Linked DNA regions of Rattus norvegicus. The protein of the gene in region 6 purifies or fractionates together with the protein of the main gene of each other region. This does not show direct contact. Links are inferred from orthologs where the notes say so. Each region holds a gene or a part of one and is shown on either strand. Other genes may lie near its edges. The genes, in order: Anapc4, Anapc2, Cdc27, Cdc26, Anapc1, Anapc15 and Anapc7.

Region 1 (4,072 bases), on a different chromosome or scaffold from region 6:
ATTGTTCTGTTCCTCAGTGGATTCCGATGAAAAGTGGTAACAAAATCAGATATAACTCTAAGAGAAGCCACTGGAGGAGAATGGAGCTGGGTTCATAAGCATTCACACAATGGCAAGACTGAGGGTTTATACTGAACTGAGATCATCGATCAGTCCTACCAGATGGATTTCAACAATTTTAACCTGGAGACTTGCTTGCATCTAAATTAGGGTGTTTGTTCAGTAATAACATTTAGAACCTTTCAAAAAAAAAAAAACTACTACACATGACAAAATGTAGACTTTGCTAAGAAGGATGAGAACTCTCCCATCTTGCAGGATGGTCTTTGTACTTAAAACTGTCCCCCAGAGAAGTTGTGATCAACATATTGATTATTGAAGTTGCCTGGCAGTCAGTTTCTGTCCAAATTTTCTCACAAAATTGAATGTTTAGATAGCCATAGAATAAATCCTGCTTCCTCTTAACTGTGGTGAGTTTGTTACAAGTTAAGTGATTATTTAAATAGGATGAGAAGTCAAACTATTTGTCCCGTGTCCGGGAGGGTACAAACACTTTAACATATTTTTCTGTAAACAGTGTTTTGTTTTGTTTTTAAATGTTAATTTCTGTCCAATGTTAATTCTCTTTTAGTTTGCTAAACTTCTGCCTGATAGAGAGGGCTTTTTGTTGTTTTAAATTCTACTGTGCAGCCAGCGCTGAAAACTACTATGAGTGTCCCAAAGGAGGTGTGTGGATCGGGAGTTTTGATTAGAGCCTAAACCTGGAACAATCAAGGGATTATCTGCATTGAAGCAAATTTCTGAACAAACGGCAAAGACCTTAAAGGGGTTCCCACTATGAGTGTCCCAAAGGAGGTGTGTGGATCGGGAGTTTTGATTAGAGCCTAAACCTGGAACAATCAAGGGATTATCTGCATAGAAGCAAATTTCTGAGCAAACGGCAAAGACCTTAAAGGGGTTCCCACTTGTCCGCGTATACACCGTTAAGGATCCTTTGGAGCTTGCTGGGTACTAGGCAACCCAGAGTAGCGGACCTTCAAGGCACTAGAGCTCGCTCCGCCCCTAGCCACGCCCAGCCACGCTCCTCTCACTTCTAGCCCCGCCCACCCCTGCTGTAGCCCAGGCCAACTTTGCCTTAGGCACTCGCTTGCCGCGTCCACATAGCTCCGCCTCATATCAAGCCCCGCCCAAGTGCGCAGCCCTGCGTTCTCCCCGCCCCACCTGCGCGCCGCCGCTTTGCCACTCACTTCCTCTCGCGAGGACAACCTAGCGTCGGCGCCGGAAGCTTCCTCTGAGCGCGGAGGGCGGAGTGAGAGGGCGGGGAAGGCAGCTGGCTAGGAGTAGGCCGAGTTTGAGAGTCTGGCAGGTACCGCTGCTGGCAGGGCTTTGCGCCAAAGCTTTGTGGCCGGGTGCTCCGACGGCCTTCACGAGAGCGTCGTTGCAGGGCCGCACCCATGCTGCGCTTTCCGACCTGTTTCCCATCCTTTCGGGTGGTGGGAGAGAAGCAACTGCCGCAAGAGATTATTTTCTTGGCCTGGTCACCCAAGCGAGACCTCATTGCTTTGGCCAACACTACAGGCGAGGTAAGTGAGCTGGTGAGAGTTTGCCTATGCTGGGACTCTCGAGCCTCAGTTTCCCCTTTCGCAGACATGTTGAATCACATATCTATCCTGTCCCTACATCTCAGCGTGGCTGTTCACTTGAAGAGAAAGTGTAAAGGACCGTGCCTGCCAAACATGGTGTATATTCCATTTCCTGTATGGCCAGAAGAACAAATTCCCTCAAAGTTCTGCACACACAGGTCTCCATGAATTGATTTGGCCAGGGATGCAACATCAGACCCCGCCCAATTGGCTTTCAGATGAGTAGAGAATGAAGATGAACTGTCAGGTCCAACTAGAAATGTGTGTGTGTGCACGCGCAGTTGCTACGGAGGATGTTTGGTTTTGAATTTTTATATTTTTGTTACATCTAGCTATTTAAAAGATCTTTAAGTTGAGAGGCTGTGCTTCACAGAATTGCAGACAGAATGTGTATGAACATCGTCAATTAGCATTTCTAACATTAGAAACGTGAACACTCAGTATCAAGTATAACCAGAACATACCCAACTTTTTGTGGGGGAAAATTATTACCTGGCAGCCATCTTGAAAGGAACCCTTCAGCTGTGCCATTTAACATCTCACCTATGTAAAACTAGGTGGTAAGGAAGTCCTAGCATCCAGGGCAGTTTCGTGTGCCAAATTGCATTATCGTGTTGTGTGTCATGATGGCTCTGTCTCTAAGATCCATGGCTGGTGACAAAGCTAAGAGCAGTCATGGTTGTTATTTTACTATGTCACAGCTACCTTTTGATATTGTTTCTGTTACTTCTTTTGTTTGTCATCTGGGACAGCCTTCTTAACCTTTTCAAAAAAGTAAGCTTAAAAGATATGAAAGGGGCTGGAGACGAGCTCAGCCATCCAGAGCACATGCTGTTCTTAGTGATGACCTGGGCTTGGTTCATAGCACCCACATGGGTACTCGCACCTGTCAGTAGCTCCAGTTCCAGGGAGAACTGATGCCCTCTTCTGGCCTCCTTGGGCACTGGCTGCACAAATGTGATATAAATATATACATGTACACACGTGTACTTTTAAAAAAAATGAAGGCCGGACAGATGACTCAGTGGTTAAGAGCACTGACTGCTCTCCCAGAGGTCCTGAGTTCAAATTCCAGCAACCATATGGTGGCTCACAACCATCTGTAATGAGATCGATGCCCTCTTCTGGTGTGTCTGAAGACACCTACAGTGTACTTAAAAAATGAAAATATGTAGAGTGCAGGTCTGAGTTGTGCCCTCTGAGTTCATCCATTTCTTTGAAAATGTCTTACATTCATTTGGACACAGTTGCTTTGTGGACAGCTAAATACTCAAAAGTGGTAATTAAAGTTTGTGTTCTGGGGGTCTAGGTTCATTTTATTTCTGCAGATGAGTTTCTGCTATTACATCTTTTCGTCTTAGGTTTTACTGCATCGCCTTGCAAGTTTTCATCGCGTCTGGAGTTTTCCACCAAATGAAAGTACAGGAAAAGAAGTGACCTGCTTGGCCTGGAGACCAGATGGCAAACGTATGATAATGCTACGAATGTGTATCTTTTATTTTCAAAAAGGATATTCTAAAAAGAATACATTTTTCTTGGCACATTTTAGAATTATGGTTTTGTTTCTGTTATATAGGTCTTACCACACAACCCCGACTGACCTAGGACTTGCTGTGTAAACCAGGCTGCACTAGAACTTACAGAGACTCACCTGCCTCTGCCTCCCCCGTGCTAGGCTTAAGAACATGTGTTACCTACCATACCTGGCCCTATATTAGAATTGTAAATACTAGTTTGAGACTTTTTCTTTTTAGAATGTTTAAAATATTTTTCGTGAAAGTCTGTTGTTGGCAAGGATAACTCTTTATCAAGCCCTGGCTTTGTGGCAGATAGGATCGCAGTCTGACACAGTTATAGACCACTTGGCTTTGGTTCTCTCTGCTCTCTTGTCCTACATCATTTGACCCAAGTACCGTTCACCACTCATGGGTCAGTTCAGTGCCATCACAGCCCTTTTCTCCCCCAAATTCAGTTGGCACTAAATGTGAGGTTCATAAATTTTCTCTATGTAAGGCAGTTTACCACTCCCGAGAAACCTCCCACTGGGACTCCATTTCCCACAGGTCTTTTCCTGCTGTTGTTGTTCAGATCATTCATCTTGCATGGGTGTGTGTGGGGGTTGCATGCGTGTGTCCAAGTGGGTGTGGGTGGGTATGTGATTTGTTTAGTTTTTTAAATTGATAGTTTTTTGAGCAGTTATTCCAAGTGTTAGAATAGTAAAATGCTATGGGCTACAGCTTGTGGTCTGTAAGTCACATAGGGCTCTGAATAACAATGAATGTGGCCCATGGCCCAACACAATTTTTTTTTAAATATTTATTTATTTATTTATTTTGTGTATGTAAGAACGCTGTCTCTATCTTCAGACACACCAGAAGAGGCCATCTGATCCCATTGCAGATGGTTGTGAGCCACCAAGTGGTTGCTGG
Region 2 (4,084 bases), on a different chromosome or scaffold from region 6:
TTTTAAGATTAAAATCTTGGGGTTGGGGATTTAGCTCAGTGGTAGAGCGCTTGCCTAGGAAGCGCAAGGCCCTGGGTTCGGTCCCCAGCTCCGAAAAAAAGAACCAAAAAAAAAAAAAAAGATTAAAATCTTTATGCATGTGAGTATTTGTTTGCAGGGACTGTTTGCTGCCCAGATGTATAGGCTCCATGTGGATGCCTGGTACCAGTGGAGGGCAGAAGAGGGTTCTTGATCTCCTGGAACTGGAGCTACAGATGGCTATGAGCTGCCACACGGGTGCTGACAACAACCTGAGTATTCTGTCAGAGCAACAAGCCATCTTAACTGATGAGACATCTCTACAACCTGACACTATATTTTCCTACATGTTATACTTAAGTCCACTCTGCTCAGCTTATCACCCTGCCAACAGCAGCAGGTAAGGCAAAGAAAATGACTGGGAAAGGTAGGTCCTGCAAAGTAAGAAGCAGGACCAACCTCGGATGATGCTGAAAAGCTCCTCAATACGTAGGCTGGCATAGATTCGGTAGAAGAATCTCTGTACGTGACAGCGCCAACGACGCAGTGTGTTCCCAGCTTCTGGAGAAGTTGGTCTGCTGGGGTTGTCCTGAAGGAACACTTTGCCAAGCCAACCAACCACTCTCTCGATCCACTGTGAAAGATCATTAGTATGAGGTGTAATAACATTTAAAAGCTCCATTCTGACTCAGCAACCACACAGCTTCGGCAGGATGCTAGTGGAGCCCCGACCTGTGCATGGAGGCCAGAAGTATCAGATCTACACTCCACTGCCCAGGGTTCAATGCAGCTGCCCCAGGAGTTCCCAGGTTCATGACTCTACACGGCTAACACTGCGGGGACACCCACTTTGATCATTCCCTACCATGGCTAATATGCATCTGCAGCAGACAGACACTCAAAGAGTGGGAGGTATGGACTGAAGCAGAAACAAGGTGCACGACTGCATGGAGCTCAACCTGGCTTCTTCACAATGCTGGGAACCCCACAGAAGAATTACAAACCATACCTCAAGAGTATGGACAACCAGAGGCATTCACTGAGGACAGCCTAGCTCCAGACTGGTTATAGGTTAATCCTGAAGGGAACTGTTAAGTCAACATATGTTTTATAGGACAGTGGAAAGAAAAGGGTCTGGTAGACCTGTCTTGCCACACCTGCCTGAGGAAACTCCTTGAAGCCACCTCTGGCCCAGGATTTAAAGGTTTTATTTTAAATGCACAGACCTATTTGGTACATACCAGATTTGTCCTTGTCACCAGGGTCCAAGATTGGCCTCTATACGGCAGCAAGATAATCTCAACCATCACCACTCCACTGTTTGCTATTAGGTCTACCCCAACCCCATCGTTGCCCTTAACAGGAAACAGACCAAGGAGGAGATTCTCACCTTGTGGAACTCACGCAAGAAAGAGCGCTCATACTCTCCTCGGCAGCGGTCTTCCATCCTTTCCCGGGTCACCTGATGCAGGGTGGTGGTCACGGCCTCAGCGCTAACCCGCTCCAGCAGACTGAGCCTATGCCTGGAGGAGATCCCCGCTTATGGAGAACCCACAACACATGTGTCCTTTACCCGAAGGGGTCTTCCCAGAAAGACACTGTACACACACCCTAGGCCTATGTCCAGGACAGCATACACTTGATACACAATAATCCCTGGTCACAAGTATAGGCGAAAAAGACCTCGCCATCCAGTTTATTAGCTCTATTCAGAGATCTTTTTAAAGAAACTGAGGCATGGCCAGGAAGCAGTACTTACAGGACCTGGCTGAGCTGGTTGAACTGCTCCAGGGCCTGCCGGCACCAGCACTGCTGCTTGTCACTGCCACATCCTGCACACAGAGGGCTCTGCAAAAGTCGGTAGTACCTGCGGCGGGCATACCGGCTGTCCAGCTCTCCCTCTAGTTCTGGATCTGTGCCCCCTTCTCCTTTTCTCTTGCTCTGCATATAGACTCTCAGGAAACGACCATAGAGGCGCTGGACCATCTCCTGGAATGTCCTAGGGGTGGAAAAAAACAGGACTCCCCGCAACATAGTGTGAACTTTCTCCCGAAGACCCTGAGCTCCAGCGCCCATCAGCAAGCCCAGACGAGTCCATTTCTCTAGGAGTTCTAGGCTATGCAGATAGGGATCCAAGCGGCTTTCCAGCAGACCGAACGCATCCAGGAGCAGCACAAGGCATTGGGGTTCATCGACAGAGTTTTCGCGAAGGGAGATGGCATTCCAGAACTCCGTGGCAATGTTGCCTTGAAGGTCATTCTGCAGCACTTCCACGAACCACTCCTCCAGGACAGAGTGCAGACCGTGGGCCCTCAGAACTTCTACCGCTGCACGAAGCTCTTCCTCCTTTGGTGGAACTGCACCGCTGGTCCGGGAAGATGCCTGGAGCACGGAAAACCGTGAGCAGAGGGGCGGAACAGGGGTAAAAGGAGAGGAGGGGTGTGGAAAAAAACAGCAGCCGAAGGGCTGCCAGGAAACCAAACAAATCAGATAGCTGAGGAAGGAGGCAAGCCCACTACGGGCAGAGCACGGGAGCTATGAGGACCCAAGGATGGACTCCCTAAAGGACAAAGTCGTGGCAACTCTGCACAGGCCCGCCAACCTTTCCCCGGCCTCACCAGCCCCAGCGCAGCCGGCGGCACCAGACCGGTGCTCACAGTATTCCAGGCAACCACGAGCTCCTGTCCAGGCCTAGAGTCGCAGTCATCCGTGGCGACAATTGTCGTTGTCGCCGCCGCCGCCGCCGCCACCGATACCGCCACACCCTCGGCCTCCATCACTGTCCACAAAACAGACCCGCCCAGCGTAGCGCACGGTGATGACGCAAGCGCGGGCTGTGGCGCAGTCGTGACGTTCGCTTGCTCGCGCGCGCTGTGTAGGCAGTGCGCAGGCGCGGGCTTGGCGGTGCAGGCGGCGGTTGAGGCTTACGGACGCGGTGCCGACCATGACCCAACAGGGCGCGGCGCTGCAGAACTACAACAACGAGTTGGTCAAGTGTGAGCGTCGGGCGCTGAAGGCCGCGGGGCCGGGGGCCGGCCAACCCACACACTCGGGAGGCTGCGTCGACATGCCTCACGAGCTCCGCTCTGCGGCCTCCCCTCTGTCGTGCTGGTCGGGGTCCGAAGTTCACGAGCCCCAACCTACAGCTCTGTCTTCCCGCCCACCCTAGGCATCGAAGAGTTGTGTCAGAAACGAGAGGAGCTGTGCCGGCAGATCCAGCAGGAGGAGGACGAAAAGCAGCGGCTACAGAATGAGGTGAGGCAGCTCACGGAGAAATTGGCCCGCGTCAACGAGAACCTGGCGCGCAAGATCGCCTCTCGCAACGAGTTTGACCGGACCATTGCGGAGACAGAGGCCGCCTACCTCAAGGTGGGGCTCTCAGATATGCGTTGTCAGTGCCTCACTACCATCTGAGGCTAGGTAGGGCCCATTGTGGTTCAGAGGCTGTAGGCCGGACAGTGGGCTGTTTGTGGGATCCAAGAGAGTGAGCAGTGGTGTGCTGGACAGAGTACCATAGTGGTGGGTGAACTAACTCAGCCTGGCTTTGCAGGGTGGAAGAGCTCTGGGACAGGTGCAGGAGGGAGGATAATTTTATTGCCCCCACCATCCTCCATAACCCGTTGACTCAGCACAGATGGCCAGACTGAGATTCCCATCCTCCACTATCAGAGGCTGAGGCAGTGGGAATCTTCTTACCAGAGAAATAACATCCTTCTATTTCTCTGGCCCCAGATCCTGGAGAGCTCTCAGACTCTGCTTAGTGTACTCAAAAGAGAAGCTGGGAACCTGACTAAAGCCACGGCTTCAGACCAGAAGAGTAGTGGAGGCAAAGACAGCTGACAAGCCCTGTCTCAGCCGTGGCCTATGGCTGCTCCCCAACATGTCTGTCCTAAAGCATCTTTGTTCTCCATGGCCTCAGATGTCTTTTATCTCTGGTGCCCTGAGTGTCAATTTCTGACCTCCACCTGCCTTGAGTGACAAGACAAGCCCCAGGACAGTCCAATGGAAGATGTGTTCCCAGCTCCGCACTCACATGTGTTATTGGAACCTTGAGCTCCTGGTCAGC
Region 3 (3,500 bases), on a different chromosome or scaffold from region 6:
ATATAGCAATATAATTTACATATTAAATAAAACACCATATAGGGTGGTTTAAACAAAAGAAAAAAATGGGGTGGGGATTGCAGGTTAGAAAAACTCTTCTTCCTGAACATTTTTTGTTTTGTTTTTTAAGACAGGGTTTTCTCTGTGTAGCCCTGGCTGTCCTGTAACTCCTTCTGTAGATCAGGCCGGTCTCAAACTCAGAGATTTGCCTGGCCTGCCTCTGCCTCCTCAGGGCTGAGACTAAAGGTATGTGCCACCGTCACCTGGCTTTTTTTTCTACCTGGGTGAATGCAACAATCTACTCACTGACCAGCGATGTTTAGTTTCTATTGGGTTAATGGTTCATAAAATTAAAAAAACAAAGACCAACTTTTCATCATCACTGTCTCAAAGGAATAACACATGGATTCATTTGGAAAGTAAAAATGGTTCTTCGAATATGAATATCAGTACAAAGGAAGAGTTAACACATCTACCACAAAATCCAAAACAGAACAACAAAAAACTTACAGTAGGGTTGAAACTGAAAAATACAAGTCTTATATCTGCTTCCTAACTCATGTATCCTTTTGCTTAAACTTTGTCCTTTCTTATTACCTAATAGTACCTTTTCTTGGTCTCTTTTCTAAATTTTTAGACTTTACTTTCTAGAATAGAAAGAATCCAGGGCTTCATGTACGTAAGGCAAGCATCAGCTTCTACCTCCGGGCCCTACTCTGTCTGAGTTCCTGTCCTGACTTCCTCTGAGGAGTAATAGCAATATGGAAGTGTAAGTCAAATAAACCCTTCCTTCCGTATTTGCTTTTTGGTAATGGAATTTTGTCACAACAATAGTAACCCTAACTAAGACACCAGGCCTGCATGTGATGTACGTAATACATACATATATACGAGCACAATAGGCATACCTAAAAAAAAAAAATCATAAAAAGAAGAAGAGCCACTCCTTGGGTAAAGGTGCGCGTTGCCAAGCCTGGAGAAAAGGCTTGCAATGCTCTTCTAACCTCCACTGTTTGCTGTGGCCCACACAGCCCATACAGACACAATATACACAAATTAAATTAAATAAATAAAACGATCTTTAGTAAGACTTTGTCTCTTTACTTACCATGCATTATAATGTCTGGGATTTACTCTTATAGCATTTCGAAAACATGCTAATGCTTTATCTAGTTCTTCAGTTAACACAAATTCATGTCCTAATAGAGTATAGGCATAAGCATAATTTGGATCCACCTGGATAGCTCTTTGGAAGAATTTAATTGCTATATCATGCTCCCGTTGTAGACTGAAACAATTCCCTGCAGCACACCAAGCCTGACAAAACAGAAACAAGAACTAGTCAGTTAAAAGTTTTTATGCTCTATAAAGAAAACTATCGTCAAAAGTAACTTACAATTTTAATTTAATTTTGACCTAAAAAACTGTGTGTGGTGTGAGTGTGGATCCTTGCTTTCCAGCTTGTTTGAGTCAGGGTCTGTGTTGTCTGTGGTGTGCAGCAGGCTAGCTGCCTGCAAGCTTGCCAGGGTTTGCCTGTCTCTGCTTCCCATCTCCTCCCTGTAGAGGTGCTGGTATCCAGCAGTTTAACCACACTATGCCTGGCGTTTATGTGGGTTCTGGAGATTCAAATTCAGGTTCTCATGTTAGCACAACCATTGTTACCCATTAAGCCATTTCTCTGACCAAATTTTTATTTTACTTTTTAACAAAACCAATCCTGTGACAAAATCAAGTCTCAGATTTTATTTACAGGACAAAACCCTGAAGAAATTCAAATTTTTGACTATGATTTTCTCTTTTTAAAAACTCTTACTCATACACAAATTCCACATGTGCAGGTTAGAGCAGAGTGTTTTTCTTTGATAGAGTTTCTCTGTGTAATCTTGTCTGTCCTGGAACTCACTTAGTAGACACCAGGATGGCTTTGAACTTGGAGATCTATTTGCCTGCCTTTGCCTCTTGAGTGTGGGATTAAAAGCATGTGGCATCACAATTGGCTTAGGAGAATGGTTTCAGGGAGCTGGTTTTCTCCTATCACTATGTGTTCTGGAAATAGGACTCAGGGCGCCAGTGTGCACAGCAAATTTTCACCGGCAGAGCCATCTCCCTAGCACCTATTGAAGCTATCTTACTGGCCATGTTTTTTTTTTTTTTTAATTTTCTTAAAGATGATATAATATCAGTATTTAATAATATTAGTATTTAATCTGTCCTCCTGTGAATTTGTACACTTGTGAAGTTTACAGAGGCCAGAAGAGAACAGCAATTTGAATCCAGGTTTGCGTGCACTTCACTAAAGTATCACTAAAAACCATCTGAGTGGCTGTGATTCCGGCTGTGGGAATGAGAGGTTCAAAAGTTAAAGAACAGCCTAGGGAAAACAGCAAGGTCCTGACACCAGGGACGAACAAAGACCTTCAAATAAATGTCCTGAAATACTTACTACAAGATTAGTACATATGAATCAATCTATGTCTGTCTTCAAATGGCAATTAAGGGCCAGCAAAACGACTCAGTGGGTAAGAGGGCTTGCTGCCAAGCCTGATGACCTGGAGTTGAATCCTTGGAGTCCACATTATTTAAAGAAAAATGGACTCTCAAATGTTGTCTCCTAAAATCCAAATATACTCACTATGGCATGTATGTGCTCCCACACACAAAATCTGGTTGGATTTTTTGAAGGTTGAAGTTCTGTTTGGCTGTCTGGACAGGCCTTCCAAGAACTGAGTGACAACCAAGAGTCACCAAGCATGGCTTTTTGGCATGTGTGAGAAGAGTCTTTCTGAAACAACCTCATGAAGTCCAGAGTTAGTAACAAACTAGCTGTGTAGTGAATAACTCAATTGTTTTGTAATTATATCTTATGACACTTTGCAAAAATGACAAAAAATTACCTAACAATGCACTTGCCAGAATGTATCATTACGTGATACAGGACTATATTTGTTCTGGTGATCAAAAGCTATGTTGGGGTCAAAGATTATGTGCCTAGCATACCTACAGTGCTGGGTTCCAGACCAGCACTGCACCCAAAAATTAAACGAGTAAAACAGACTGCTGTTAGCATACCTCTGGTGAATTCTTATCCATGTCTGTTAAATCTTTTGAAAGAACCGAAAGAGCAACATCTTTCTGAAGATGCCAGAGTGTTGTAGAGTAGATCTCCATACCCTCAACTCTGAAACTCTCAATCCTTCTAACTTCTGAGAATATTCTTTCAGCCTAAAATTAAAGAACTAGTGAGTGAACTGTACAGACAGACAGACTAGTGCAGGTTATTGTCGTCACAGGACCAAATTTCTGCAAGGACTGTGCTTTATGGGAATCAGTATGGAGAGAAATCACTGTGAGAGGTCAAATACTGAGGCATTAGCCTAGTTCCTGTATTTTAACTAGGGATAAAGATGTAAAGTCTGAAAAAAAATTTCTATTAAAAAAAAAAAAAAACAAAAAAAAAGACAAAGATGGGGCTGGAGCAATGGCTGCCCGACAGAGGACCT
Region 4 (3,981 bases), on a different chromosome or scaffold from region 6:
TGTGGGGAAAACACAACACAACAGACCATGCCAATCTAGGGCAAAAACAGAACTCTAAGGAGGGTCCTTCAACAGCACTGCATGAGCATCTAGCCGAGGGTGGGCTGCCTAAGAGTGGCTAGGGATCTCAATTCCCTATGGGAAAAGGTGTCTTAGTGAATTTGAAGGGTAGGCAGACAGACTTAAGGTCAGAGAAGTTCATATGGAGAATGAAGGTTTGTGTTAACAAAGCCCATGTTTGTTTCAGAACAAACACTTGAGCTGGCAGCACCCGGTAGAGTGGGCCCTGCAACTCACCTGGGCAGCAGTAGAGCTAGCCCCGGTGAAAGGCGTGGATGAGGTAGTCCCTGAAGACCTGAGAACAGGAGAGCTGACACTCCCCCTTGCCAGCTGTGGCACTGGGTAAACTAGCTGGAGCAGTGTTGGAGAGTTCACCCGGATGGTGCAGATACAGGTGGCAGGCTGATCAACTCAGCTACCTCCCAGGACCAAATCCAGGGCTCTGAGTTGGCCCACCCCAGCATCTACCCCATCTATGATCTGCACAAGCTGCAGGGTCACATCTCCATGACACAGGGCAACAACATATCTGAGAGGAGTCCTAGTGAGGTTCCAGTATAGTGTAGCAAAAGCCAGAGGCCCTAAAACAGGCCCATGACTCATTGCACTGAATGAGCATTTATAAGTTTAGGTGTGTGGACAAACGGGTATACTCCATGATACACCATGATGTGCTACAGAGTCCATGACAAATTTTTGTTTATTCTATCTTATTTTCTTATTGTAGGGGGGAGGTTGCAAGGGCAGATGCAAAGGGACAGGGAGATGAGTGGGACTGGGGTGGATGATGTGATGTTCACAAAGAATCAATCAAAAGTTAAGAAGAAAACCTAAGGGGTTGGGGATTTAGCTCAGTGGTAGAGCACTTGCCTAGCAAGCGCAAGGCCCTGGGTTCGGTCCCCAGCTCCGAAAAAAAGAAAAAGAAAAAAAGAAAACCTAAGCTGACTTTAGTATCTGTTGAAGGTATTGTCTCTATGTCCTCCACAGCATCCACAACAAAGTAAACTGAGCCATAAAAAATAGAGAAAGTGAAACTAACTTTTCTTAAATTCTAGACTCTCCCATTATTGGTTTTTCTTCTCACTTTGATAACTCAAAAGTTTTTGCCTCTTAAAAAAAAGTTTGTTCTATTTATTTGTTGGGTGCTGGTGAAAGCACATAGCCCACAGGCAGAGGTCAGAGGACAATGTCTGGGAGTTGGTTCTCTCCATCTACTATGTAGGACACCACACTTAGCATGGGCTCCTTTACGACTGAACCAACCCACATTCCCATTCTTTATATTACTTTAATACAGAAGCCTTGGGAAGCTTGAAAAATTATTCCAGTTTTATAAAGTTGAAGCAAACAGTTTAATTAACAAATTCAGAAGCCGGGTGGTGGTGGCACACACCTTTAATCCCAGCACTCTGAAGGCAGAGGCAAGCAGATCTCTGTAAGTTTGAGGTCAGCCTGGTCTACAGAACATGTTCCAGGGCATCCAGGGCTACACAGAGAAACCCTGTCTTCCAAAAAAAAAACAAAATAGCCTCCTATAAAAGTTACTCATAGACCACTAGAATAAAAAGTTGTGATAATGATCTTCGTGAAAGTTCCGCAAAAAAAAAGTTCCGATATAGTGTGCATCCATATAAATTATTATTGCATGCTAGCAGAATGAAACAAAAGACTACGATGTATACGAAACATTTACACTTCTTACACTTCTCTCAGGAGTGTCACATTATATCACATCTCAAGGGGCCATATGGTCAACACAAAACACTGGCCTGTGACAATTCAAACTGCTTTATTCTATCAGATACTACCTTCTACCAGATCCCTAAGTAGAGAAATGGAAGCCAGCTCCAAAGAGAAAGGGAAGAAATACTTAAGAAAAATAATTTCCTACTTGGGTATGAACTGAAAGCCTCACCACTAGAGAGCAACAGTGAGTACGGGTTAAAAGCGCGGCAGTCCACCCGCCACATTACTAACCCTACTACACTGTGGCTCCAGAACGACGGATTACCTTTTCTCACCAGAATTTATTTTCTGATCTTTACTCTTGTTGTCCCGCGACTTAAATAACTAAGATAGAATAAGCTCCTTGCGCGTAACGTGGCATTTAGTAAGCCCTCGAAGTGGAAGTGCTCTTCTAACTGGAGTTGTTCGGGGAAGAAAGAGGCTTAAGAGTGAGAATGAGTCTGTTCAGCTCAGCAAACGCGAATATTTTGCAATCCCCGCAACTTTCATGTAAGGGTTTAAAAAAAAAATATCTCTGACGGCCTAGCAATCATTGCAACTGCAGCTGCTGGTATACACTTTATCTGGCGCCTCCCTGGACCCTTTATTTCAAAGAACATATAAAAAGAACAGGCTGTAGACAAGTAAAACAACAACAAACTAGGCCGCAGCTCCTCCACCACATCTCTATTTTAGCCTTAGAAGGCTCTTCGAGTTTAATGTCTTCTTAAAGCACAAAATCACTTCGTAGCCACCCAGTTACCAGGGGCCCCCGGAGAACTTCCGTCGTGAACAACAGTCCTCTTTCCCAGCTCCAATGCTGCAGAAGTCTAGGGAGAGATTTCAATGGCAGCACAGGCCTCGGTTTCAAAATGACGGAAGGCCTCCCGAAGGAGAGCAGAGACCCTTGGTTTGTTCCAGATTAGACTTGCGATTCGCAAACTTACCTCTTTTCAGGCCTCTGAAGCTTCCCAGAACCTCAACTCCCACCTTGACTCCATTGCTACGCAGCCCGAACTACACTTCCCAAGTTGCTCTGCGCCTTTTTTTCCCACGCGCCTCTTCTCCCGAGAGGTTGTGCCGCTCTATAAGGCCACGCCCATCGATGACAGCCGACACTTGGCAACTACCACTCCCAAGATACTTCGCGACTCCTAGAGCACGAACTGGTACATTTCCGGCCAGTGACGCACTTCCACTTTGCTAGGCGCGCGGTTCCCGGTCTGAAAAGCAGAACGGGATTTGGCTAGGGCCTCGCGGCTCCAGAGCCCGGCATGGCCTCCTCACGAGCCTCCTCCACGGTACGGAGTTCCGCATCTAAGTTCATGCTTATCCTCTCCTAGGGAGGACGCGGTCCCCGTGGGAAAGGGCCGTTACCTTACGGGTCCGGGCAGAGGAGGAGGAGGAGGAAGGCTGGGGGACCGTGGTGTGGACCTTAGCAGCCTTTTCCTGATTTCTAAACGCCTAAACTGCAGCTCTTTTTGCACTGCTCTTACTTAAGCCCTGAGCAGTGAACAACACTTTTTCTGACTGCTCCAAAGCACAGTTCTTTGAAATCGGGCAGTGTCTTGACGTAAGCTGTACGACTGGTACTTATGAGGCCTCCCAACTTCTAATAGGCTCTGAAAGTATTTGAAATGTGTATTCCAGTAACATTGTGACTTGGTGCGCCGAATTGTTTGGGTTGTTTTGGGTGTATGTCCAGTGGCGAGAAGTTATTTTCGTAAAATCGGAGATTGCATTTCGAATAGATTAAAGTAACAGGCCCCAAAACAAACCAAGACATATCAGACAGAAATTGTTTAATTGTAATTGTGTGCCAAATTTAACGAGAGCGTGAGCTCGGCGCAAAGTCACTTTCGACTTTGTCCTAGTTGTGAGAGGAAATAAAATGAAGGCTCAGCATTTCCTTCATTCTTTTGGAAAGCATGGTTTGCTAGGACCAAACCTTAATCGGGGTCTTTGATTTAACAGACAACCAAAACTAAAGCACCTGACGATTTAGTTGCTCCTGTTGTGAAGAAACCACACATCTATTATGGAAGCTTGGAAGAGAAAGAGCGGGAACGCCTGGCCAAAGGAGAGTCTGGGATTTTGGGAAAAGAAGGACTCAAAGCCGGCATTGAAGCAGGAAATATTAATATAACGTCTGGTAAGATGCAAGTTGAAAATCACACACCCCCTCCCCCCCTTTTT
Region 5 (3,500 bases), on a different chromosome or scaffold from region 6:
TTGTAGCCACTGGTCCAGGGTGGAATCAACAGTGCACTTCACCACAGGTAGGAACTCCGAGTTTATGAAGAGCCCTCGCTTAGGATAGGTCTGCTGCCTTTCCTGGTGGCTTCGTGAACTGAAAAACTCTAATATCAACTTTATCTGCCAAAGATCAGATGTGTTCGACATGTCTCTCTTTTTAAGACTTCTTAAAGCCTGTGTAAAGAGACAGAAAGAACAGTCTGTTTAATGAAATGGCAAGTTGTTCTAATCACGTTGTCTTCAGGGTATGTTCCAAAATGGCTAACAAGATCAGCAAGAGGCTATGGAGATTCATGGGTATTGAAGTGTCATTGACTACATTAAAGAGCCCTCCCCAGTGTGGCTTAACATGAAGGCAACTTCCAAGTAAAAGCAACAAAGGTCAAGTCCATTCTTGGCTCAGCAACCCTGAATGATGAAGACCCCTCCCCAACACACACACACACACACACACACACACACACACACACACACAGGTATAAATCTCTGGGGAAGAAGTTGGGGTACAATGACATAGCAGGGACAGATAGGAATCCCAGTGGGGCAGAGACCTAATCACTGATCACACTGATGTTAAGAATCACCCATAAAGATACCATGGTTACCACCAGAGGAGACATTCATCCATGGAGACTGCTCTAGATGGTGGAGGGATGAGGGTACCCACAGTTTGTAAAGAGAAGAGAACATTTAACTAACAACCAAGAAGCCTAACTTAGCTGCTGTGCCAAGAGAGGCAGCACGCAGAACACCAGCACAGTACCATGAATCTCTGCAACTGAGAAGAGAAGACCCACACGGTAACACATTCTGGCTGGCCCTATGCTCCTGCTGAAATGCAGAGTGCGACTTTACATATTGTGATTTTCATGCCTGGGGAGTTGTTTCTTGCCTAATTGCTTTTCCCACTCAGTTATCCACAAGATTATTTTTATCATCAAAGATTAGTTCTTTGGCTTGAGAATAGAGTCCCAAATGCCAATCTATACACTTTTCATATTACTGTAGAATTTTTAAAACTATGGGTTCTAGATTTTGCCCACCAGATTCTAACTTAGAAGGTATGAAACAGGATTTGAAGATCTGCATTTTAAGATTGCCCAGACTAATTTTAGCCAGATTATGTCCCTGTTAGGCACTTACAAAATATCAAGAGAATAAAAATAAACACAATGTCCCTAAATCACCAGCTCCTGGTTCTAAACTGCCTGCAGACTTGACCGAGGAGGTGGAAGTGCATATCCAGGCAAACAGCAGGGCACACAGGGCTCACCTGCTACTCATCTGTGGCCTTCCCATGAAGAAAGGTGGCAAGAGATGACACAGGAGGACTAGAGCAAGAAAGGAAATGATCTCTTCCTCTCCAAACCAAGGGAAGAAGACAGAAAGGGATGTGGGACTCCCAAGAGGAAGGCAGTCTCCAGAGAGCACGCCTGCTAGCACAAAGTCCAGCCTTTGGGCATCAGCATAGGGCTGTCAACTGGAAATGGCTTCTTGATAAGATGTCTAAAAGTAAACAAGAAACTGAATCCATAGGGATCTTCCCACACTGTGTAGTGGGTCATCTGAAGCACATCATCAATACAATTGCAACAGAATGCAAATGATTTTGGAATCATACCTGATCCATTGCTATGTAGGCAGGCAACATCTCTGGAGTTTCCTGAGCAACACACTCATAAAGTATGGAAGAAAAGAGGTCCAGAATCTCCTGTTTCTGTGGGAAAGCACAAGTACTTTGTAGCACATCAAAGCATATCACAAAACCAATTCAAGAAACAACCTGTGACAGCTACTAATAGCTCATTCTGAAGCTCTACGATAAACAGTGTAAACAGTTCATCTCTTCACAAAGTCATAGTCCAAACAGTGTTATAACATCACTGAAAACACAAAAAGAATGCTGAGGTAGCAGCATGTGATCTGGCACATAATTGATCAATTTAGGGTTAAAAAGAAAAAAAAAATCTGTGAGAACAACAAAGACGAGCCTTCAGTCAGCTGGGAGTGGGATCCAGAAAGGCAGCACAGCACCAACAGAGATGTAGGGGTAAACAACACCCAGGTAAATGGAGTTCTCAGAGTCACATCCACAAGGGGACTGGGGAGAGAGGAAGATGTGGTGGTGGCAATAGAAGGCACAGGTTTTATCAGCAATCTCTAACACACATAAAGGATATCATCAACCTCAAAGGCAGGCATGAATAGTACAGGTGATTTTGGTTGTCTATTGATAGAACTAACAAAGTCTTATCCTGGTGCCCGGCAAACAATAAAACAATATAATACTTACTTGGCCCATGCTCACAGTCGGCTTGCAGAAATATTCAGCAAATGACAGAAGTGCTGGATCAGAAGTGAATGATGAAATTGTTTCTGGCTAAAAAGAAAAACAATTCCCACTTTAAATGAGATAACCAATTATTACTTCCCTTTCTGCTCACACTATAAGGCCTATAGTTATAAGAACTCTACCCCCTCCTTTCACACAATGGTCCCACAAGACAAAACAAGCTAGAATCTGTCATCCTGTTCTGTTAGGAAGTTACAAGCTTTTGCAAAGGTAATATGAAGTGTTGATTTACCAAAAGGTCAGTAATAAACATGTCTTCTCTCATATGAACTACTCAAAACTGAAAATGGAGTACTTCAGGTTAGGTTCCTATTTTACTTCTGAAATCCCAGAAGGCAAGATATTGAGCTGTCCTTTAATATTTATATACTTTCAATATTCAGAATTAAGCTCAAACTTACAATTGGATTAGCTTTTCATGCAGGTTCTGTTAGAAAAAAAAAAAATGCTAACTTAAGCCAGAAAAAAAAATCTTCAAAATATTCTGGCAACAATCCACACTTGACATCAAGGCTGGGGCTTCCGTACACTCACACCCCGATGGCTGTGAGGAAGATCAGTACCGGCTGAGCGGTTCAGATGAGATGTAAGTGGACTACATGAACTGTTACCTCCTTACTCAGGAAGAAAGGAAGTGAAAGTGGCTGCCCCCGGCGGCTGAGCTAACACAGCTTTGCTTGTGTGGCCTGAGATCCAGGTACTCAGAGGCTCCTCAACAAACCTCTGCCCTGAAATCCTTAAATCTGAGATTAAATTCCCAAGTTTAAAGCTAGATGTGTTACAGAACACATTCTTAACGGCAGAAATGAATTCTAGAACACAAAATATGCACTGAACTTTTCACAGTAAAGAGCTTTAACTCACATTTTAACCATTTTTTTTTTCATTTTAAACACTACTGTAGCTGAGTACTAGGAAATAGTAAACTAAAAAGCAAGACATAAGCTGTCATCAAGATTAAAGAAACAAGTGTGGTTTAATATATGGGTTTTCCCCTCAGTGGAGTATAGCCACGCATGGTGGTGTTTGCCTATAATCCCAGCACTCAGGAGACTGGGGCACAGAAACCGCACAGTATGGCTGGGCCTGGGTTACAGCTCAGTAAGAGAACATCTAACACTGG
Region 6 (4,266 bases):
GCCCGCCTTGAGTGTGGCAAGCTGCTGCATGACCTGAAGGACCTTAGTACTAACTAGGCACAATGCCTAGCCCTCGAGTTCTCACTTTCACTGTCTGCCCAGACTGAAAACCACAATTGTTCTGAGCCAAAAGCAAGGCCGTTAAAGTAAGGCCTTGTCCACTGGTCTTCACACAGCCCACCCACGGGACCACAGGACCACTCACCTCGGAGGCAGGCTTGCCGATGGGTACCAGGTTGTTGTCTTTCTCTGCGATGCTTTGGAGCTGTAGGCAAAGGAGTGTGGGGAAAAGTAGGGCCACGGCATAGGCAGAGCAGGTTAGGAGCACTGGACTGGCTCATTCTGCCCCTTACCAGACTCCCAATGTTGAAACAAAGCTTCTCCCCCGACCCCAGTTCTCAGGAGGATTCAATCTCCCTTTCTCTTGTCATCTGCTCCTTATAAAATAGATGGGCATATGTAAAGTCTTTTGGCCTCAGTGTTTTCATATAATTCTGGTGAGGGTGAAATGAGACACTCAGCCTAGAATATGGCATTGTGTGGGTCCTCATTAAGAGTTTAAATGATGGGCTGTAGAGATGGCTCAGTGGTTAAGAGCACTGACTGTGGAGTGGGTGGGGTGGGGACATCTTTGTGGAGAAGGAGGATGATTGCGGGGGAGGAGGAGGTATGAGATGTAGAACCCTGGGGGAAGGGACCAGGAGGGAAATAAAATCTGGAGTGTATAAATAAATAAATAAGCACTGACTGCTCTTCCAGAGGTCCTGAGTTGAAATCCCAGCAACCACATGGTGGCTCACAACCATCTGTAATGAGATCTGATGCCCTCTTCTGGTGTGTCTGAAGACAGCTACAGTGTACTTATATATAATTAATAAATAAATAAATAAATAAATAAATAAATCTTTAAAAAAAAAAAAGAGTTTAAATGATTAAGTCCTGTGATGTACAGAAAAGCCTTTAGGCTGCCAGGAGCTTGCCATCTATCTAATCTAGCCCCAAAGTCCTAGGGTCCCTCAGCAAGTTAAGGTACCACAAAGTAAGACCTTTATCCCCAAGAACCCAGCTTGAGTATTCCCAACACAGTGACAAATGTTTTCCTAAGCAGTGTACGGCAAGGTCATATCCTAGGTGGTGCACCTCCATGCTTCGCTAGGTCCTCACTCACCCAGGCCTGATGCTGCTGCTCCTGCTGCTGCAGCTCTGTCTCCTCCACACAGGGTCGATCCAGATTAAACCACAGTGTCTCAGTCACACGAGGAAAGAGTGAAGGGAACAAGGTGGACATGGCTCCTAAGCTGAGGGAAAGGGTCACGTGAACACGTTTTGTTTTGAACCGATGCAGTTGTAATTTGATATAGGGATGGGGTGGAGCGGGAGGTAGCAGAGAAGCTGCCCTTCCCTCTTGAAATCAGACAGACCTGAGTTTGAGTCCTGGCTCCATCACTTACTAGCTGTTTGACTTTGGCCAATACACTTAACCTCTCTGGGCCTCAGTTTCCTCATCTGTAAGAATGGGGATAATTAAAATTATATCATCCTCAAAGTTATTATGACAAAAAATAATAAAATAATGAAAGCTGTATGCTGCTTGAGGAGAGAAGAGACTGGGAGCCAGAGACGGAATGTGACATTGTGATCATGTACAAAATTAGCGATAGTAGAGACCTAGTAAAATTCATTTTAAACACACAAACACACACACACACACCATAAAACTTATTTTTTGCTCTTTCACATACAACCAGTGCAAAATGTTTCAGACACGAACCACCTCTCTCGCCAACCAAACTACAGTACACACAACCAAGGATAAAAGATATCCTAGGAGGGTTGAGTAAATAGAAAAACAAACTAGTGTAAGAATGAATAATGAACTAACATGTAAGAGAAAAAAAATCAACTCTGTGGGCTGAAGCTGCTGACCAGGAAGGTAACCGAGAAGCTCAACTAAAACCCATCTGCTCACAAACCCAGTGACATGTTAGAGCTTGACTTCGGCCACACACTCGGTGGGGATTTAAAACATATATAAGGAAGGGATCCTGGCCCAGTAAAGTAGGAAGGGCACAGGAAAAAATAAATTAGGTGTCTACCTTGGTGTTTCCCCCTATTTTTAGTAAATGAGATAGGGTTTCACTATTTAGCCCTGACTGGCATGGAAGTCACAACATAGACCAGTCTAGTCCCAAACTCACAGAGATCAGCATGCCTCAGCTCCCGAATGCTGGGATTAAGGGCGTACACCAGCTACCACACCAGGCCCTACTCTAGCTTTGGTTCTAACTTAATTTGACCCACGCAGAACTAAACGCTGTTATTCCCTAAACCAAAGCCTCCCAGGTCCGTGTGACAGGAAAAAAAGCGTCCACCCCCATCCCAAAAGTACTGACAGATTTTGTATCCTAAAATCCTACCCACCACCGCCCATTCTTTGCTCATTATGATAATGACTGCAAGATTGACCAACAAGAAGGAGGCAGGGGCGGGTCTTCATCAGGATTTAGACCTTATAGGGATGCTAATCGCAAAATGCGCGCGGCCTGGCTGAAGCCAATTAACTGAAAGAAATGCTGGGTGACAGGAAGTGAAACCAATGCATGACGGAACATGTGTGATGGGTGGGGCTTAGACTCTAGGAAGCGGCCAATGAGTAGGATGTCGTTAAGAGTAAAAAAGGGGAAAATGAGCTGCTAGGGAGGCGAGTCAAAGGAACTAGGTTTCTCTGAAAGCCGGAAGAAAGAACAAGCAAGGAGACGACAGTAGTCTTGTTTCCGCACTTACCGCGCCAAGAGCCGGCAGCCGGCGGCGACCCGGAAGCGCTTCCCCAGACCTGAGCGGAAGAACCCACCAGAATCCGGGACTCACTAACGCATGCGTCTTCCGTCTCCTTTTGTTTCCCGCTTCAACTACCACACCGGAAGTGATGTTGACGTACCTTAGTTACGTACAGGTTGGGGGAGGACATTTATTTGCTCCGTCTACCTATCGGCCCCGCCTTGAGTTTCAAGGGCCTGGTTTCTGCAGGCTAGCCCCTCTCCAGCGTCCGTTTAGTCCCGCCCGCTTGTCACTAGGCGGTGTCTGAGTGTTAAATCTCTTCGAAATATAATGGTTTCCAGAAGTGTTCGCTTGTGAGGATCCTGTGTGTGCTGCGTTCCAGGAACATCTGTTCCCTTCTGTTCCTCTCAGACTCAGTTTCCTGTATGAATACATTCTTTTCTTTTTGAGAGGCTACCTTGAACACGCTAGACAGGCCTCTGACACGGAGCTACATCATATCCACAATATTTGCTTTTCTTTGTTGAGACAGGGTCTCACTGCGTATTCCTGACCGGCCTGAAACTCACTAGACCAGGTTGGCCTCGAAGTCAGAGATCTTCGGGCCTTGCCTCGTGCCGGTATAAAAACTGTATAACACCATGCTGGCCTCTTTTTATCTATTTAAAATTTTATTTTATGTGTATGAGTGTTTGGAAAGCGCGCGCGTGGGCTGGAGAGATGGCTCAGTGGTTAAGAGCACCGACTGCTCTTCCAGAGGTCCTGAGTTCAATTCCCAGCAACCACATGGTGGCTCACAACCATCCGTAATGGGATCTGATATCCCCTTCTGGTGTGTCTGAAGACAGCTACAGTGTACTCATATACAAAATAAATAAATAAATCTTAAAAAAAAAAAAAAAAAAAAAAAAAAGAAAGCGCGCGCGCGTGTGTGTGTGTGTGTGTGTGTGTGTATTTGCACCAGTTCGTGCCTGGTGCCTATAGAGGCAAGAAGCGGATCCCTGGAATCCAAGTGGAGTTAAAGATGGTTGTGAGCCAATCTATCAGTGCTGGGAATTGAACCTGGGTTCTTTGGAAGGGCAGCCAGTGCTTCATCTATCCACTACTTTGTTTTTTGTTTTGTTGTTGTTGTTGTTTGTTTGTTTTCTTTTTTGTTCGTTTGTTGAGACAGTGTTTCTCTGTGTAGCCTTGACTGTCCTGGAACTCACTCTGTAGACCAGGCTGGCCTGGCGCTGCCTCCTGAATGCCTGGATTAAAGGTGTGTGACACCACACCTGGCTTTTCTCATTTTTTATGTATGCGTTGGACAAAAAGTATTTGTGTGAAGTCTGTTTCAGGTTCTGATATAAGCTGGGTATAAATCTGTGAACATGTTAATTGCCCTCAGAATACATATAACAGCCTTGAGGAATCAGTCAGCAATTGGCCCCCACATTCTATTTCTGGGAAATTCAACTGCCCTCCTGAGGTGTATCCAGCCTGTCAGGA
Region 7 (3,766 bases), on a different chromosome or scaffold from region 6:
ACAGATGGTGGAGCAGTTCTGCCTGCACCTGCCTGAAGTGCTGTGTGTGTCACACCAGATGTGGCTTAGACCTGCTTAGGTTGGTTTACACCAGTTAACGTTACTTGGTAGCTGGTGAACTCATCTGGTTGGTTTAGTTTTGAACTCGTTTAGTGTGTTACAGCTGACTTTGGTCAGTTTGGTTCTGAGCTATCTGGATTCTCTTGTTCTTTTTGCTTCTGGCATATTCCTAAGTTTATTTGATGCTATCAAGAGGGTATTTTGGTTCAGGGTTCTAGTTCAGGGCCATTGGCCTCATCTGGTGCTGGCCTGGTCTGCAGAGGAGTTCCAGGACAGCTCGTCTGCAAAAAAAAAAAAAAAAAGTTTTTTTTAAAGATTCAGGGCACAGACTCAGTGGCTTGGGTAAAGAGGCCACCAAGACTGACGACCTCAGTTCAGTCCTCAGGACCTGCGTGATAGATAGATTGTCCTCTGACCTCCTCTCATGTGCTGTGTGTGCTTGCCCACACCACTGTATAAATAAGTTCATGGATGCATGGTTTTTAAAGACACAGTACTCATGTCATTTCCCAATGAACTAGAGACCACATGCCCCTCACCCCTGCAGCGCCCCTTTGAGGGGGTCTCTGAGAAAGTTGTCGTGTCATAGTGGGTGTGACTGTGCACTAGCTGAGCAGTAAAGGTTGTCTTTCTCTGCAGGCAGGGAGCAGAAGTACGAAGATGGAATTGCTCTGCTGAGAAATGCACTGGCCAACCAGAGCGACTGCGTCCTGCACCGCATCCTGGGGGACTTCCTGGTGTCTGTGAATGAGTACCAGGAAGCAATGGACCAGTATAGCATAGCACTGAGGTAGGTGCCCGGCCTCCATGGGGAGGAGAGGAAAGGAAGCAGGGCCCAGGCAGCTCTGCAGACAGCTGTGCCCAAGGTGAAGGCAGGCTAAGAATAGCAATGAGAGAAGGTATTTGCAAATTCATGACTCCTGACATATTTTCCTAAAGCATATTAGAAGAATTAGAGATGATCATCCTTCTCCAGCCCACATAAGAGTAACACCCAGACTGATCTGTGCGGCTCTCCTGTGCTTGCCCACACCCCCATGACGTCATAGGCTTATGCCGAGTACATATTTTACATTCTGCTTTTTATGATCAGAGTTTGCTAAGTGTGTGCTTCTGGTTTTGTCTGCTCTAGTAATTAAAAACTTAAATTCCGAAGTTTGAGTACAGCTTCTACCTGTTATCTTGGTCAAATACTAACCAATTCCCTGTCTATACCTACCTCATTGGGCATTAACTAGGGGTATCAAGATAATAATTGCTACATAATCGTGCAGACCCAAGTTCGATTCCCAAAACACATGTAAAGGTTGAAGGAGAGAATTGACTCCAAGGTTGTCCTCTGACGTGTGCGCCATGGCTTTTACACAACGCACAGACAATGTGTGTGTGTACACACAATAATACATTTAATTTTTTAATGTAAATTTCTAGGACTTTTCTTTTAAAGCTTTCTTAGGAGCCAAATAAATGAGGCTCCTGGGCTCTGGGCTTCATGGTGTTGCTACTAGTGAAACTGTCTTAGTCCAGCCCCTAGCCTCAGGACTTATGATCTGTCCCAGAGTGTAGCATGGTTGACGGCGGTGGCTGCCTGCAGTCCACGGTATAAAGTCACATGGAAGAATAACCAGCCTGGGGCAGGCTACATGCAATCATCATGTACCCGAGGCTGCCCGGGTGTCCTGATCCTGTTTCCCTCCTGGATGTGCTGGGCTGTGTCCTGTGCCTGGCCTCAAGCACCAGGCCTTCTGCGAGCACCGCTGCTCTGTCTGGTCACTGCCCCCGACTGCCCTCACTGCCTCCCCTGCTCCCACTGCCTCCCCTGCCCCCACTGTCCCCACTGTCCTCCACTGTCCTCCACTGCCCCCACTGCCTCCACTGCCCCCACTGCCTCCCATTGCCTCCACTTCCCCCACTGCCTCCACTGCCTACAGGAGAGTTAAGGGCTTGGTATTTGAGGAGCTTTAAAAACTTTTTGGAGGAAAATTTGAAGTTAGAATTTTTAATTGCCATTTTAAAGTGAATTGTTTATTAATTTATTTTATGTGGATGGGTTTGCTTGCATGAATGTCTGTGGACCATGTATGTGCCTGGTGCCCAGAGAGGCCAGAGGAGGGTGTCAGATACTTGGGAACTGGGGTCACTGTTGGTCATGAGTCATATATGGGTGCTGGGAACTGAACCCAGCAACAGATGCACTTGACCACTGAGCCACCTCTCCGGCCCCTTCAAGTTAAAAGTTCTAAAACTCCGAATAATGTCCCTTTTCATCTCTGATGGACTCCCTGGGTCCAGCCATGGAAGCACAGTTGTTTGCAACGTCTCTGGCTTAGTCATATCTGCTGGGCCAGCTCAGTGACAGTCCCAAGAAGCAGGGCAGAGACTCAGGCCTGTCTTCTGTTTTGTTGTTCCTCAGTTTGGACCCCAATGACCAGAAGTCCCTGGAGGGCATGCAGAAGATGGAGAAGGAGGGGAGCCCCACAGACGCCACTCAGGAGGACGACGTGGACGACATGGAGGGCAGTGGGGAAGAAGGGGACCTGGAGGGTAGCGACAGTGAGGCAGCCCAGTGGGCTGACCAGGAGCAGTGGTTTGGCATGCAGTGAGGGCACAGCGGTGACCCTTGTGTCCCTAGAGTGGCAGGAGCTGTTGGACGTGTGCTCACAGCAGGCCTTTCTGCCTGTTTCCTCAAGTTGGCACTGATGTTTGTCCGTCTGCTTTGCTGTGGACTGAGCGAGTTCCGAGCCACAGACTCGCCATTCTGGATGGTTCGGCTGCACGAAATGGAAGATGCTTTTTCTCTTTATGAGCGGGTACATAGGACTGAGCCATCCTCTTAAGAGCACATGCCCCTGGGTGGCCCTGTCAGAGGTTCGGTCCCTGGGAGTCACATCCTGGTACGGCCACACTCCTGTAGTCATGGAGCTCTGGATGGGGGGGGGCGGGCTGTGCCTCACTGACTGCAGAGCAGGCTCGGCCTCAGTGGGCAGATCTGAGAAGCAGATGATGGGAGCATGGCCACCCCAGGGCAGGTTCAACTAATAAAACTGCCCAGTGTGGTGTCACATGTCACAGTGGACACCCTTTGAGACTCTTCCTTTTTCCTCCTTGTCAGAGGCAGCCATGCAGGCCTAGACAGTTTGACATACATATACTCCCTATTCTCCCATGTGCTGGGAGGCAGAGCCCTGAGCTTGTCACACAGAACCAGCCTGGCTCTTTCCTGAGTCCCTGAGGGCAGGGTCAGCCTTGATCATCTGCCTAGAGTCTCATTCAGCTACTGGGGATGGGTCGACTCCAGGTCCCTCCTGGGTGCCTTTCAAGATGCAGATCGGTGTGCTAGGAAGAAATGAGGTTTACTGTAAAGAATCCGTAGTCGATTTCAGAGCATCTGTCAGTGCAGTGAAGTGGGCCACGTAGTCTGGTGGAAACATTCCGGAAGCCTGCACTTGGGAGGCAGAGGCAGACAGTTCAAATGTGCTGGGCTGCACTGCAAGATTTGCATTAAGAGACATAAGTTAAGCGGACCAGGTCTCATAAAGTGTGTCAGTGAGCCTCAGCCTCCACACTAGCCGGCCCTGAGCAGTCTCAGGCTCCCTTTGAGCAAGCAGCATGTGGGTGGTGCTTTTCCTGACTCCACCCCGCCAGCAGCCCCACTCACCAGTCAGTGCTGAGAGAAGGCAAAATCTGTTCAGCCACAAATTGAACC

The links.
Region 1: the proteins of Anapc15 (region 6) and Anapc4 purify together in Homo sapiens (affinity purification with mass spectrometry; 10 studies listed by BioGRID and IntAct, with this or other methods). This does not show direct contact. The link is inferred for Rattus norvegicus from reciprocal best matches to the Homo sapiens genes ANAPC15 and ANAPC4.
Region 2: the proteins of Anapc15 (region 6) and Anapc2 purify together in Homo sapiens (affinity purification with mass spectrometry; 4 studies listed by BioGRID and IntAct, with this or other methods). This does not show direct contact. The link is inferred for Rattus norvegicus from reciprocal best matches to the Homo sapiens genes ANAPC15 and ANAPC2.
Region 3: the proteins of Anapc15 (region 6) and Cdc27 purify together in Homo sapiens (affinity purification with mass spectrometry; 3 studies listed by BioGRID and IntAct, with this or other methods). This does not show direct contact. The link is inferred for Rattus norvegicus from reciprocal best matches to the Homo sapiens genes ANAPC15 and CDC27.
Region 4: the proteins of Anapc15 (region 6) and Cdc26 purify together in Homo sapiens (affinity purification with mass spectrometry; 3 studies listed by BioGRID and IntAct, with this or other methods). This does not show direct contact. The link is inferred for Rattus norvegicus from reciprocal best matches to the Homo sapiens genes ANAPC15 and CDC26.
Region 5: the proteins of Anapc15 (region 6) and Anapc1 purify together in Homo sapiens (affinity purification with mass spectrometry; 3 studies listed by BioGRID and IntAct, with this or other methods). This does not show direct contact. The link is inferred for Rattus norvegicus from reciprocal best matches to the Homo sapiens genes ANAPC15 and ANAPC1.
Region 7: the proteins of Anapc15 (region 6) and Anapc7 purify together in Homo sapiens (affinity purification with mass spectrometry; 3 studies listed by BioGRID and IntAct, with this or other methods). This does not show direct contact. The link is inferred for Rattus norvegicus from reciprocal best matches to the Homo sapiens genes ANAPC15 and ANAPC7.

The regions. Positions count from the first base shown.
Region 1 is NC_086032.1:62,367,773-62,371,844, reverse strand, and holds the start of Anapc4 (anaphase-promoting complex subunit 4), read left to right. Parts: upstream 1-1,272; 5' UTR 1,273-1,454; coding exon 1,455-1,583; intron 1,584-3,004; coding exon 3,005-3,110; intron 3,111-4,072. UniProt on the Homo sapiens protein: Component of the anaphase promoting complex/cyclosome (APC/C), a cell cycle-regulated E3 ubiquitin ligase that controls progression through mitosis and the G1 phase of the cell cycle.
Region 2 is NC_086021.1:28,483,344-28,487,427, reverse strand, and holds the start of Anapc2 (anaphase-promoting complex subunit 2), read right to left. Parts: upstream 2,801-4,084; 5' UTR 2,796-2,800; coding exon 2,637-2,795; intron 2,401-2,636; coding exon 1,778-2,400; intron 1,542-1,777; coding exon 1,409-1,541; intron 653-1,408; coding exon 478-652; intron 1-477. Other genes in the region: microtubule nucleation factor SSNA1, read left to right, coding at 2,963-3,014, 3,188-3,387, 3,751-3,858. UniProt on the Homo sapiens protein: Together with the RING-H2 protein ANAPC11, constitutes the catalytic component of the anaphase promoting complex/cyclosome (APC/C), a cell cycle-regulated E3 ubiquitin ligase that controls progression through mitosis and the G1 phase of the cell cycle.
Region 3 is NC_086028.1:89,911,771-89,915,270, forward strand, and holds part of Cdc27 (cell division cycle protein 27 homolog), read right to left. Parts: intron 3,223-3,500; coding exon 3,070-3,222; intron 1,318-3,069; coding exon 1,109-1,317; intron 1-1,108. UniProt on the Homo sapiens protein: Component of the anaphase promoting complex/cyclosome (APC/C), a cell cycle-regulated E3 ubiquitin ligase that controls progression through mitosis and the G1 phase of the cell cycle.
Region 4 is NC_086023.1:80,872,527-80,876,507, forward strand, and holds the start of Cdc26 (anaphase-promoting complex subunit CDC26), read right to left. Parts: upstream 2,801-3,981; 5' UTR 2,733-2,800; intron 5-2,732; exon of another isoform or gene 1-4. Other genes in the region: Prpf4 (U4/U6 small nuclear ribonucleoprotein Prp4), read left to right, coding at 3,060-3,086, 3,760-3,937. UniProt on the Homo sapiens protein: Component of the anaphase promoting complex/cyclosome (APC/C), a cell cycle-regulated E3 ubiquitin ligase that controls progression through mitosis and the G1 phase of the cell cycle.
Region 5 is NC_086021.1:136,310,465-136,313,964, forward strand, and holds part of Anapc1 (anaphase-promoting complex subunit 1), read right to left. Parts: intron 2,405-3,500; coding exon 2,318-2,404; intron 1,742-2,317; coding exon 1,646-1,741; intron 199-1,645; coding exon 1-198. UniProt on the Homo sapiens protein: Component of the anaphase promoting complex/cyclosome (APC/C), a cell cycle-regulated E3 ubiquitin ligase that controls progression through mitosis and the G1 phase of the cell cycle.
Region 6 is NC_086019.1:165,672,994-165,677,259, reverse strand, and holds the start of Anapc15 (anaphase-promoting complex subunit 15), read right to left. Parts: upstream 2,801-4,266; 5' UTR 2,785-2,800; exon of another isoform or gene 1,883-2,784; intron 1,507-1,882; 5' UTR 1,445-1,506; coding exon 1,422-1,444; intron 1,299-1,421; coding exon 1,169-1,298; intron 266-1,168; coding exon 206-265; intron 1-205. UniProt on the Homo sapiens protein: Component of the anaphase promoting complex/cyclosome (APC/C), a cell cycle-regulated E3 ubiquitin ligase that controls progression through mitosis and the G1 phase of the cell cycle.
Region 7 is NC_086030.1:39,793,849-39,797,614, reverse strand, and holds the end of Anapc7 (anaphase-promoting complex subunit 7), read left to right. Parts: intron 1-699; coding exon 700-850; intron 851-2,473; coding exon 2,474-2,663; 3' UTR 2,664-3,266; downstream 3,267-3,766. UniProt on the Homo sapiens protein: Component of the anaphase promoting complex/cyclosome (APC/C), a cell cycle-regulated E3 ubiquitin ligase that controls progression through mitosis and the G1 phase of the cell cycle.